Linked DNA regions of Cricetulus griseus. The protein of the gene in region 2 purifies or fractionates together with the protein of the main gene of each other region. This does not show direct contact. Links are inferred from orthologs where the notes say so. Each region holds a gene or a part of one and is shown on either strand. Other genes may lie near its edges.

The links.
Region 1: the proteins of Gnai3 (region 2) and Ric8a purify together in Homo sapiens (affinity purification with mass spectrometry; 3 studies listed by BioGRID and IntAct, counting the BioPlex papers as one, with this or other methods). This does not show direct contact. The link is inferred for Cricetulus griseus from reciprocal best matches to the Homo sapiens genes GNAI3 and RIC8A.

The regions. Positions count from the first base shown.
Region 1 is NC_048596.1:60,341,108-60,345,382, reverse strand, and holds the start of Ric8a (synembryn-A), read left to right. Parts: upstream 1-1,175; 5' UTR 1,176-1,228; coding exon 1,229-1,312; intron 1,313-1,608; coding exon 1,609-1,656; intron 1,657-1,744; coding exon 1,745-2,335; intron 2,336-2,636; coding exon 2,637-2,728; intron 2,729-3,189; coding exon 3,190-3,340; intron 3,341-4,275. Other genes in the region: Bet1l (BET1-like protein), read right to left, coding at 1-164.
Region 2 is NW_023276806.1:48,990,890-48,995,405, reverse strand, and holds the start of Gnai3 (guanine nucleotide-binding protein G(i) subunit alpha), read right to left. Parts: upstream 2,833-4,516; coding exon 2,715-2,832; intron 1-2,714. UniProt on the Homo sapiens protein: Heterotrimeric guanine nucleotide-binding proteins (G proteins) function as transducers downstream of G protein-coupled receptors (GPCRs) in numerous signaling cascades.

The DNA.
Region 1 (4,275 bases), on a different chromosome or scaffold from region 2:
TCCGCCTCAGGTATAATAACTTCCGGGAGAAGGGACTGGAGCGGAAGAAACAAAAATGAAGTTGTTCCATGGAATGTAAATAAGGGAAGGGCGGGCCGCCTGCGTTCGTGCCCGCGGATTGGCCAGCAATAGTAGTCCCGAGATGTGGGTGGTACCCGGAGCATGAGCTCGGGCACAAACCGGGAGCTGAGGCTGGAAACCGGCTCGGTAAAGCTGCCGGATGCCTCGGGCGCTGCGGAAGCCCGAGTGTGAGAACTACAAGATGCGGAGGACGGACAGAACTGAAGGAGACTGGCGAAGGAGACGCCAGGGCCTGACACCGAGCAGGCGCAGGGCACGCGCCGGTTAGCTCAGCGGGTGGCAGATCATCCGCTGGAGCATGGCTTGTGTGTCACCGCGAGGTACACTCTCACCGACCATGCCTCCAGCCACGCGGAGTGCGGACCCGGCTCCCCAGCCACCCACCCTCTACCCAGCGTTGGAACGCCTCTCACACTGACGGGCCGCGGCTGGCCGCCCCTCCATTGCCCCTCCCATGGGAGTGGCTTTCTCCGGGTGGTTTTCGCTTCCCTCTGACCCTTCCTCATACACTGGGACTTTCTTTTTCCTTTGATGGCCACATTGTTTTTGATGGTTCGGTCTTTCGTTTGTTTTAAGGACGGTCTCACTATGTATCCCTGTCTGGCCTAGAACTCACAGATCTGCCTGCTTCTGCTTCTCGGGTGCTGGGATAAAGGCGTGCGCCACCTCGCCGAGCTATCCGCTTTATTTTGACCACCCGAGTCGTTGTGTTTGTCTTTCCCGCGGAGCATGAGCTTCAGGGTCTGGACCGTGGGGCTCCAGCTGACTAAGCGACCAGAAGATAGTGCTCCCTTCATCTCTCTCCCTGTTCCCTGACCGGTGCGTAAGGAGGGCGGTCCATGCGGGGGCCGAGACCCCACCTCCACGCCCCACGCCTGCTAGAGAGGAGGGAGAAAAGGGGGGCGAGGGGATGCTACTTGGCTAGCTAGCGCCGCTGTTCCAAGACGAGCCGCTCGGCGATCGCGGCCAGGTGGGCTCCACCTTAAACCGGAGGCCCGCCCCACGCCTGTGCACACCCTTTCTGCTCGGCTGTGCTCCCGGCATCCCTCACGCGTGGACTCGGGGCTTCCGGACCTGGGCGGAGCCCGCGGGTTTGGCCGATTGCGTCTTCCCAGCCCAAGCCTTCCAGCACCCGGTGCCAGGGGCCATGGAGCCCCGGGCAGTTGCGGATGCTTTGGAGACGGGAGAGGAAGACACAGTGACAGAAGCTCTGCAGTCGTTCAACCGGGAGGTGAGAGGCACCCGGCTGCTGAGGAAATTTCTTGGAGAGAGGAAGCAGTGGTGTGCGCGCAGCGCGGCCGGGGTGTGCGTGCGAGTGTGGCAGGGAGCACGGCCTTGGGAGGCGGGCTGGGCCTCGGGGGTTTCAGTGGTGGGGCAGGTGTAGGGGAAGCGAGGGTGGTGGGCCCTGCCTTGCGTTCAGAGCAATGGCTGCTGCCTCAGAGGTAAAAGCAGACCGGCTGCCCTGACTCGAGGAGCACAGGTCCTACCTGCGCGTGGACTTGAGCCTACTGGGTCTCCTCCCTGCAGCACTCCCAGAGCTTCACCTTCGATGATGCCCAACAGGAGGACAGGAAGGTAGGTGCCATCCCAAGGGGCTCCTAGGGCAGGCATGGGCTGCCCCAAGAAGAGGGACTGGTGGATCCACTTTTGTCCCTCCCCACAGAGACTCGCAAAGCTGCTGGTCTCCTTACTGGAGCAGGGCTTGTCACCGTCACACCGTGTCACCTGGCTGCAGACTATCCGAATCCTAACCCGAGACCGCAGCTGCCTGGACTCATTTGCCAGCCGCCAGAGCCTCCATGCACTAGCCTGCTATGCTGACATCACCATCTCAGAGGAGCCCATCCCACAGCCCCCAGACATGGATGTCTTACTCGAGTCTCTCAAATGCCTGTGCAATCTCGTGCTCAGCAGCCCCGCAGCGCAGATGCTAGCAGCAGAGGCTCGCCTGGTGGTGAGGCTAGTGGAGCGTGTGGGACTGTACCGCAAAAGGAGCTATCCCCACGAAGTCCAGTTCTTTGACCTGAGGCTCCTTTTCCTGCTAACTGCCCTTCGCACTGATGTGCGCCAGCAACTGTTTCAGGAGCTGCACGGTGTGCGCCTGCTGACTGAGGCGCTGGAACTGACGCTGGGGGTGGGCCCCAAAGAAAAACCCCCGGTGGTACTTCCGGCCCAAGAGACAGAGCGGGCCATGGAGATCCTCAAAGTGCTCTTTAACATCACCTTTGACTCTGTCAAGAGGGAGGTGGATGAGGTAAGTTGTAGCCTGAAGTCATGGGTGGGACTCAGCTCAGCTGGGACAGTTTTGTGGTTTTGCTTCCTTCCTGCCTCAACTTCCTGGGTGCCAGACATGGCAAGGATAATGGGACATCAAGGCAGGGAATCCAAGGAAGGTTTCTGAGCTGTGTTGTGGGGGTGTGTTTGTGGGAAGGCTTTAGGTGGCCAAAGGTCACCAACTGTGCTGTGGACAAAGCCAAGTGATCAGCTCCATGTGGCCCTGGAGCACTGGAACAGGGGACTCCTCCTTACAGGAGCCATTTTCTGTCTTTGGTTAGGAAGATGCTGCCCTTTACCGGTACCTGGGGACCCTTCTGCGGCACTGTGTGATGGTTGCTGCTGCTGGAGACCGCACAGAGGAGTTCCACGGGTAAGGGGCAGGACTTACCGTGTGTTGACAGTGGGGAGAGTACTTAGGCATGGGTACCCTAGTCCTCAGCCCTAGGTGTCAGTAGAAGCACCAGGTCCCACCGTAAGAGTATGACTGTCAGAGGGATGGGAAACCAGAGTGTTCCCAGAGAGCCCCAGGAACTCAGAATATGACTAGGGGAAGAGCTAAGGTGGAAACAATGGTGGCCCTGGCATTGTAAGGCAATGGTGTTCCTGCTGGTGGTGACCAATAAGTACCTCACCTGACTTGGTATCTCAGCTCAGACAGAATGGGACAGGCAGAAGTTTGTCTCCCCACCAAACTTGAATGGAGTACTACCTGCCCTTGCCTCTAGTCCTCGGTGCTGTCCTCAGTCCCCCATATCATGTATACCCCAGGAGAGGAGCCGGGGATTACTTCTGTGCTAGAGTTACTCTGTCAAGGCCTCTGTCTGTCCCCAGCCACACGGTGAATCTCCTGGGAAACTTGCCCCTCAAATGTTTGGATGTCCTTCTCGCCCTGGAGCTACACGAAGGATCCTTAGAGTTTATGGGAGTCAATATGGAAGTGATCAGTGCCCTTCTTGCCTTCCTAGAGAAGCGTCTGCACCAGGTAGGTGGAGGACCTGCTATGTTGTGGCTTCCATTTCTGCACCAGGGAGAGAGGTCAGCTTGAAGGTATAACTTGGACAGTTTCTCTGGTTGCTCTGTGGCCCCACCAGAGATAGCTATTCAGTCAGACCCTCTCCGAAGCTTGTGGATACAGCTTGTGTGTGGACCTCAATGCTGCTGATTCCCAAAGAAAAGCAGGCTTCTCAGGGTCTGCCAAGGTGAATGTTGTCTTTTAGGTCTCTGCAGTTCCCTGTTAAGTGATTCTCAGAAGCCTTTGGTTCCTGCTTCCCTAATGTTCCCATACATTGGCAGCCATAGGTGACAGCATTAGTTGTCCTGCATCTTTTGTTTTTTGTTTTTTATTTTTTATTTTGGTTTTTCAAGACAGGTTTTCTCTGTGTAGCCCTGGCTGTCGTGGAACTCACTCTGCAGATCAGGCTGACCTCAAACTCAGAGATCAGCCTGTCTCTGCCTCCCAAGTACTAGGATTAAAGGAATGACCCCAACCCCCACCTCCACCCCCACCCCCGTTGTCCCTCTGCATCTTAAGGAGACATAACCAAGGGTTACCTGACACCTACAGTTATAATATGGGACCAGAGAGCTGGTGATCTAGCCTATCCTGTGGAGCTCACACAGATGAAAGCCATAGATAGAGGTTCATTAGATCTCCGAGGAGCCATAGGGTGCTCAGCACCTATGAGCTGGGTGAGGACAAAGAAGCTAGTGTTGAATATGCTAGCTGTGACTGCCTGCCCTTATTGCTATAACGGCTGGTATTGGACTCCAGGGAGATAATGGGAAGGCAGGGAAGGGATAGGTACACTGCTTGCTGTCCATGAAGCACTGTGGTTAAGGATGTTAGTTAGTGTTTGCTTTTGCTGTTTCTTGAGGGTAGTGTGTATCTGATGTGTGCAGACAGCTTCAGATGCTTTT
Region 2 (4,516 bases):
GGCAAATGAAAATTACAGCTAGTAAATAAGCATGAATTAGAATTTGAAGCGTTCTAACTTCAAAGCCCATGCTTCAATCACTATGAGAATTATAGCCACAGACAAAAGAAAATATACGAACCAGGAAAGGCAAGAAAAGTAGATTTCAATTTAAATTAAATTGGATAGCCACTTAGTGTTGAAGTAAAAATGGCTTACATGTACCAAAGGAAACTTTCTGAAATCAAAAAAATGAGGGGAAGGGGTAACTGGAATACCATATAGGGTGTTTTTTTATTTACCATAAAGGTGCATTTTACTTAAAGAAATATCATGAAAGATCTTTTTTTAAAGTGTTAGATTTATTCATTTTACATCTGAGTGATTAATCTCCACATATGTATATGTACCATGTACATGCCTACAGGTAGTTGTTAGCTGCCATGTGGGTACTGAGACCCTCATCCAGATCCTCTGTAAAAATAGCAAGTGATCTTAACTGTTAAGCCATCTCTCCAGCCCCATTAAAGATCATTTTAATTTCACATATGCATTATGATACAACTCAGGTTAAGAGCAGCTGCTTCTGCAACCTACTTCAACTTACTGGTTTAATTTGCTCAAAATACTGTTAAAAAAAATTCTGAGAGAAAAAAAAAATCCATGTTTGTGGTACATACCTGTAATCTCAGCTATAGGATCTCATGAATTTTGAGACCAAGATTCTGTCTCAAAACAAAACAAAATGCTTAAAAAAAAAAAAAGCTAGTAAAAATGAAAGACAAATGTTCAGTACTTTGACTTTAAAACTTTTCAAATTCTCTAAGCTATGATGTGTTTAATTTTTTAAATTAAAGGCCCTGAATAAAGATTTTCTTTACACATACTTGGCTGGTTCTGCCTGCCAAAGTTTTTCAATGGTCAATATAAATCAAATCACAGTGAATAAGAATACATATTTAATTTCATAAGTGACTGGTCAATATAGAAAATGCTAATGTCAGGGACTAGAGAGATGGCTCAGTGGTTAAGAGCACTGACTGCTCTTCCAAAGGACCCGTATTCAATTCCCAGCAACCACATGGCAGCTGACAACTGTCTATAACCCAGTTCCAGGGGATGACACCCTCATATATACATGCAGGCAAAACACCAATGCATATGAAATACCAAAAAAAAATCATTTTTAAAAAAGAGAAAATGCTAATGTCAACGGTATGATGATCCCAGCACTGGTGAAGCTGATACAGGACGATGGAGAAAACGAGCACGTTTTTATCAGCCTTCTGAAAAGTGCCCGTGAACTAATGTCCACCATAGCTTGATCAAACTGGTTGGTCAATAGTAAATACTTAAGTACCTGCCAAGTACCAGAAACCATGTTCATCCACGTAAGATATCTATTACATAGACACTGGCAGTCTAGAACTATGATTTGACTTCCTATCTTCTGGAAACTCAAAACTCCATTGCACAACCTTTTCTTTATATCCAAGCTGTCACTCAGAGCTTCCACCATATATAAATAAGCACCCAGCACATCTTAAAGCACAAAGTAAGTCTGAGATTATGGTGGTTGTGTCTGTCCTCTGGAGCTTCACAAAGTGAAATTGGTACTCTACAGTGACTCCTCAGAACTCAATTGATCAAAAATTTCCACTGCTTACAGAACCTGTGACTCTTACATATTCTCATCTAACAGATTCCTCAAAAATATGAATAATGAATGTGGCCGGATTTATTGGTAAGCTAATGCCAGAGAATGTTTACGTGATTTACTGGGTCTATCAAAGTTTAAAACTAAATTGTCCTGACTAAAACATGTCTGACTATATATAAAAGCCACTTAAGTGGAGTAGAAGGCGACATGCTGTAGTCTGGAAGCCAATATTTTTACTTATAAACCCAATTAAAAATATCCCCCCGGATTTATCACAGTCTTTACTGTAAATATGCCCCACCCCATATAGTATCCTATTCTAACTCTATTCTCAACGCACATCATTCCCAGAACGTCCCCACTGTAATCTACTGCCCATTAATCCTCAATCACAAACCTCAAAGATGGCATTCTTTCAATTTTCTCAGCTGACACCATTCCTATCCCTTGTTTAAAAGTATAGCCGGGCTCTGACCCAAGTTCTTTTCTCTTATACTTAAGAACTTGTCATTTATTTTACCCGCCTCCCCCTTTATGTTCCTGGACAATCCACGTTACTAACAGCACAAAAACTACGTGTGCTCTTTTACAAACAGCAGGGTTTTTTTGTTGTTGTTTTTCATGTGACTCTTCCGTCCTAGCTTCTCTAGTCATTCAATTCTTCCAGCTTTATGCTGCCATCAAGTATCAAACTCACACAAACTCCGGACAGGCCCAGCAGACACCATACACTACTCTCCTCAACACGTTCCAATCCAATGTGAAACCTTCCCTTATATCGGTCCCTCCCAGTAAGGAGCCTTTCCCGAATTCTCAGCCCAGCCTCAAAGCTCCAAACTCCCAAACTCTGCTAAGCACCATCCCAGTCCGGTTACACCCTCTCCAACCTGAAATCCCCACGCCTTCCGGGGCCTCAATCCCCAAGCCCAGAACTCGCCCCACGCCGGGCATCCATCCCGTCCGGGTCCCTTCGGGGTCCGTTCCGCCGGCCCAGCCAGACCCCTCACGGCTCAGCCTGCTCCCCGGGCCGGACTCTCGGGAATCCAGGACTCCAGCTCCGCCCCCGGCCCCTCACCGAGCAGCAGCAGCTTCACTTCTTTGGCCGCTTTCTCCCCGTCCTCCCGCAAGTTGCGGTCAATCATCTTGCTCCGCTCCACCGCCGCCTTGTCCTCGGCGCTCAACGTGCAGCCCATGACGGCGGCGGGAGAGGGGACCGGGTCCGGACTCACACACCGCAGAAACCACGACTACACCGGCTGAGCCGCGTCTTCTGCTGGGCGGTGGCCTTCTCCGTCAGCTCCCCTAGCGCCCGGAAGAACCGGATGTCTGCTGTTTACGACACTTCCGGCGACGCCCGGCGGCCGTTACCATTTAGAGCACGGAGGCGGTGGGAAGCGAAAGAGGTACGGAAGGCGGAAGTCCCCGAGAGTCTGGCTGCTCCCGTGGAGGGATGGAGATCGGTCGCTCCGCACCTCCCAGACTTAATACCTTAATTCTTGGGCTCTCGGGCTTGGGTAAGCGTAGAAAAAGAGGGACTTCCAGCTCGCGGTGCCCTCTTGAGGTCGCACAGAAGGTTTGGTGGTGAGGACCGGATTCCTAAAGAAGAGCTCACAGCCGTCTGGAAATTTCACCTGGAAAGAGTCTCCCTGGCCAGAAAAACCCTTTTGATCTGTGATTATGGAGTCTGGGTCTCTGCCCGAAGCCGAGTGTTGGGCACTTCAGCCAAAGTTGTCTCAGTCTGATCTTTGAGATGGGAACAAACTGCCCAGCCTGGCTTCCGTCTATGCCTCGTGCGTCCTCCTGCTCTTAAAAGTATATCTTAGTTCTTCTGCTACTACTGTGAATTTCTTGTGAAATTTCTTGTGAGCTGTACATTTACCTGGAACTCCTATTTTGGCAAAGGATCACTCGACTTCTAGCAAATAATAGAACATGGAAAATAGGTGCCGTTCATTCATAACATTTCCATGTTTCCTTTTTTCCAATATAAACCAAGGGCTCTACATTAGGGACTTAGTCCCATGCCCAGAAGCAAACCAGTGCATCCTTCTTGAACGAGAGTTCCTATATGATAGCTCCAGAAAATGGGAAGTTTAGTAAGTCTCTCCAGTATCGCCAGAAGATTTGTAAATAAATTACAACCTTGTGAAGGTAATCCTAATATACCTTCACTGCCGCTTTTAGGAAAGGTCACCTTTTTTGCAGCCATTGAAACTTTCCCCTGGAATTTAAAATTATTTCTCTAGTAGAAACTAAACATAAACTACAAATCCCCAACAGAAAGGTCTGTACAGTGAAAATTAATTAGAACCATTTAATCAGAAGATTAACCCCCATCCACTTCACCATAATGCTTATCAATTCCAAGTCTGAAAAGTCACCCACTCATTTCCAAGTGACCATTAAAAAAGAAAGAGGCTGCTTTTCCTTTATGATCACTTCTGGGGGCGGGGTTGGGGGGGAAGCGCAAAAGGAAAGGGGAAACACAACATTTATTGAATACCTATTTGCCAGGTATGGCTAGGTGCTTCCATGTCTCATCTCTTAATCCTCACAACAACCCTGTGAGGTAGGTAATATTGGTCCCCATTGTCACAAATGAGGAAATAGGCTCAGAGAAATTAAGCAGCTTTCTCGTGTCCACACAGTAAGTACATCTACCCGATTTAAACTCTACACCTATTTCTACCAGGCCTCTAGAAGGTATTGCTTGAGGGTGGATACCTGACAACAGAAAGTCTTAAAGGTTTTACCTAGTATGGTAGTCACCCCAATACCAAGTTGTAGGCAACAGTAGCTGACAAGACAATGGTCTCATTCTGTTGCTCCAAGAACACCTTTGAAGAACTAAGGATTGTATATTGAACTTTACCAATA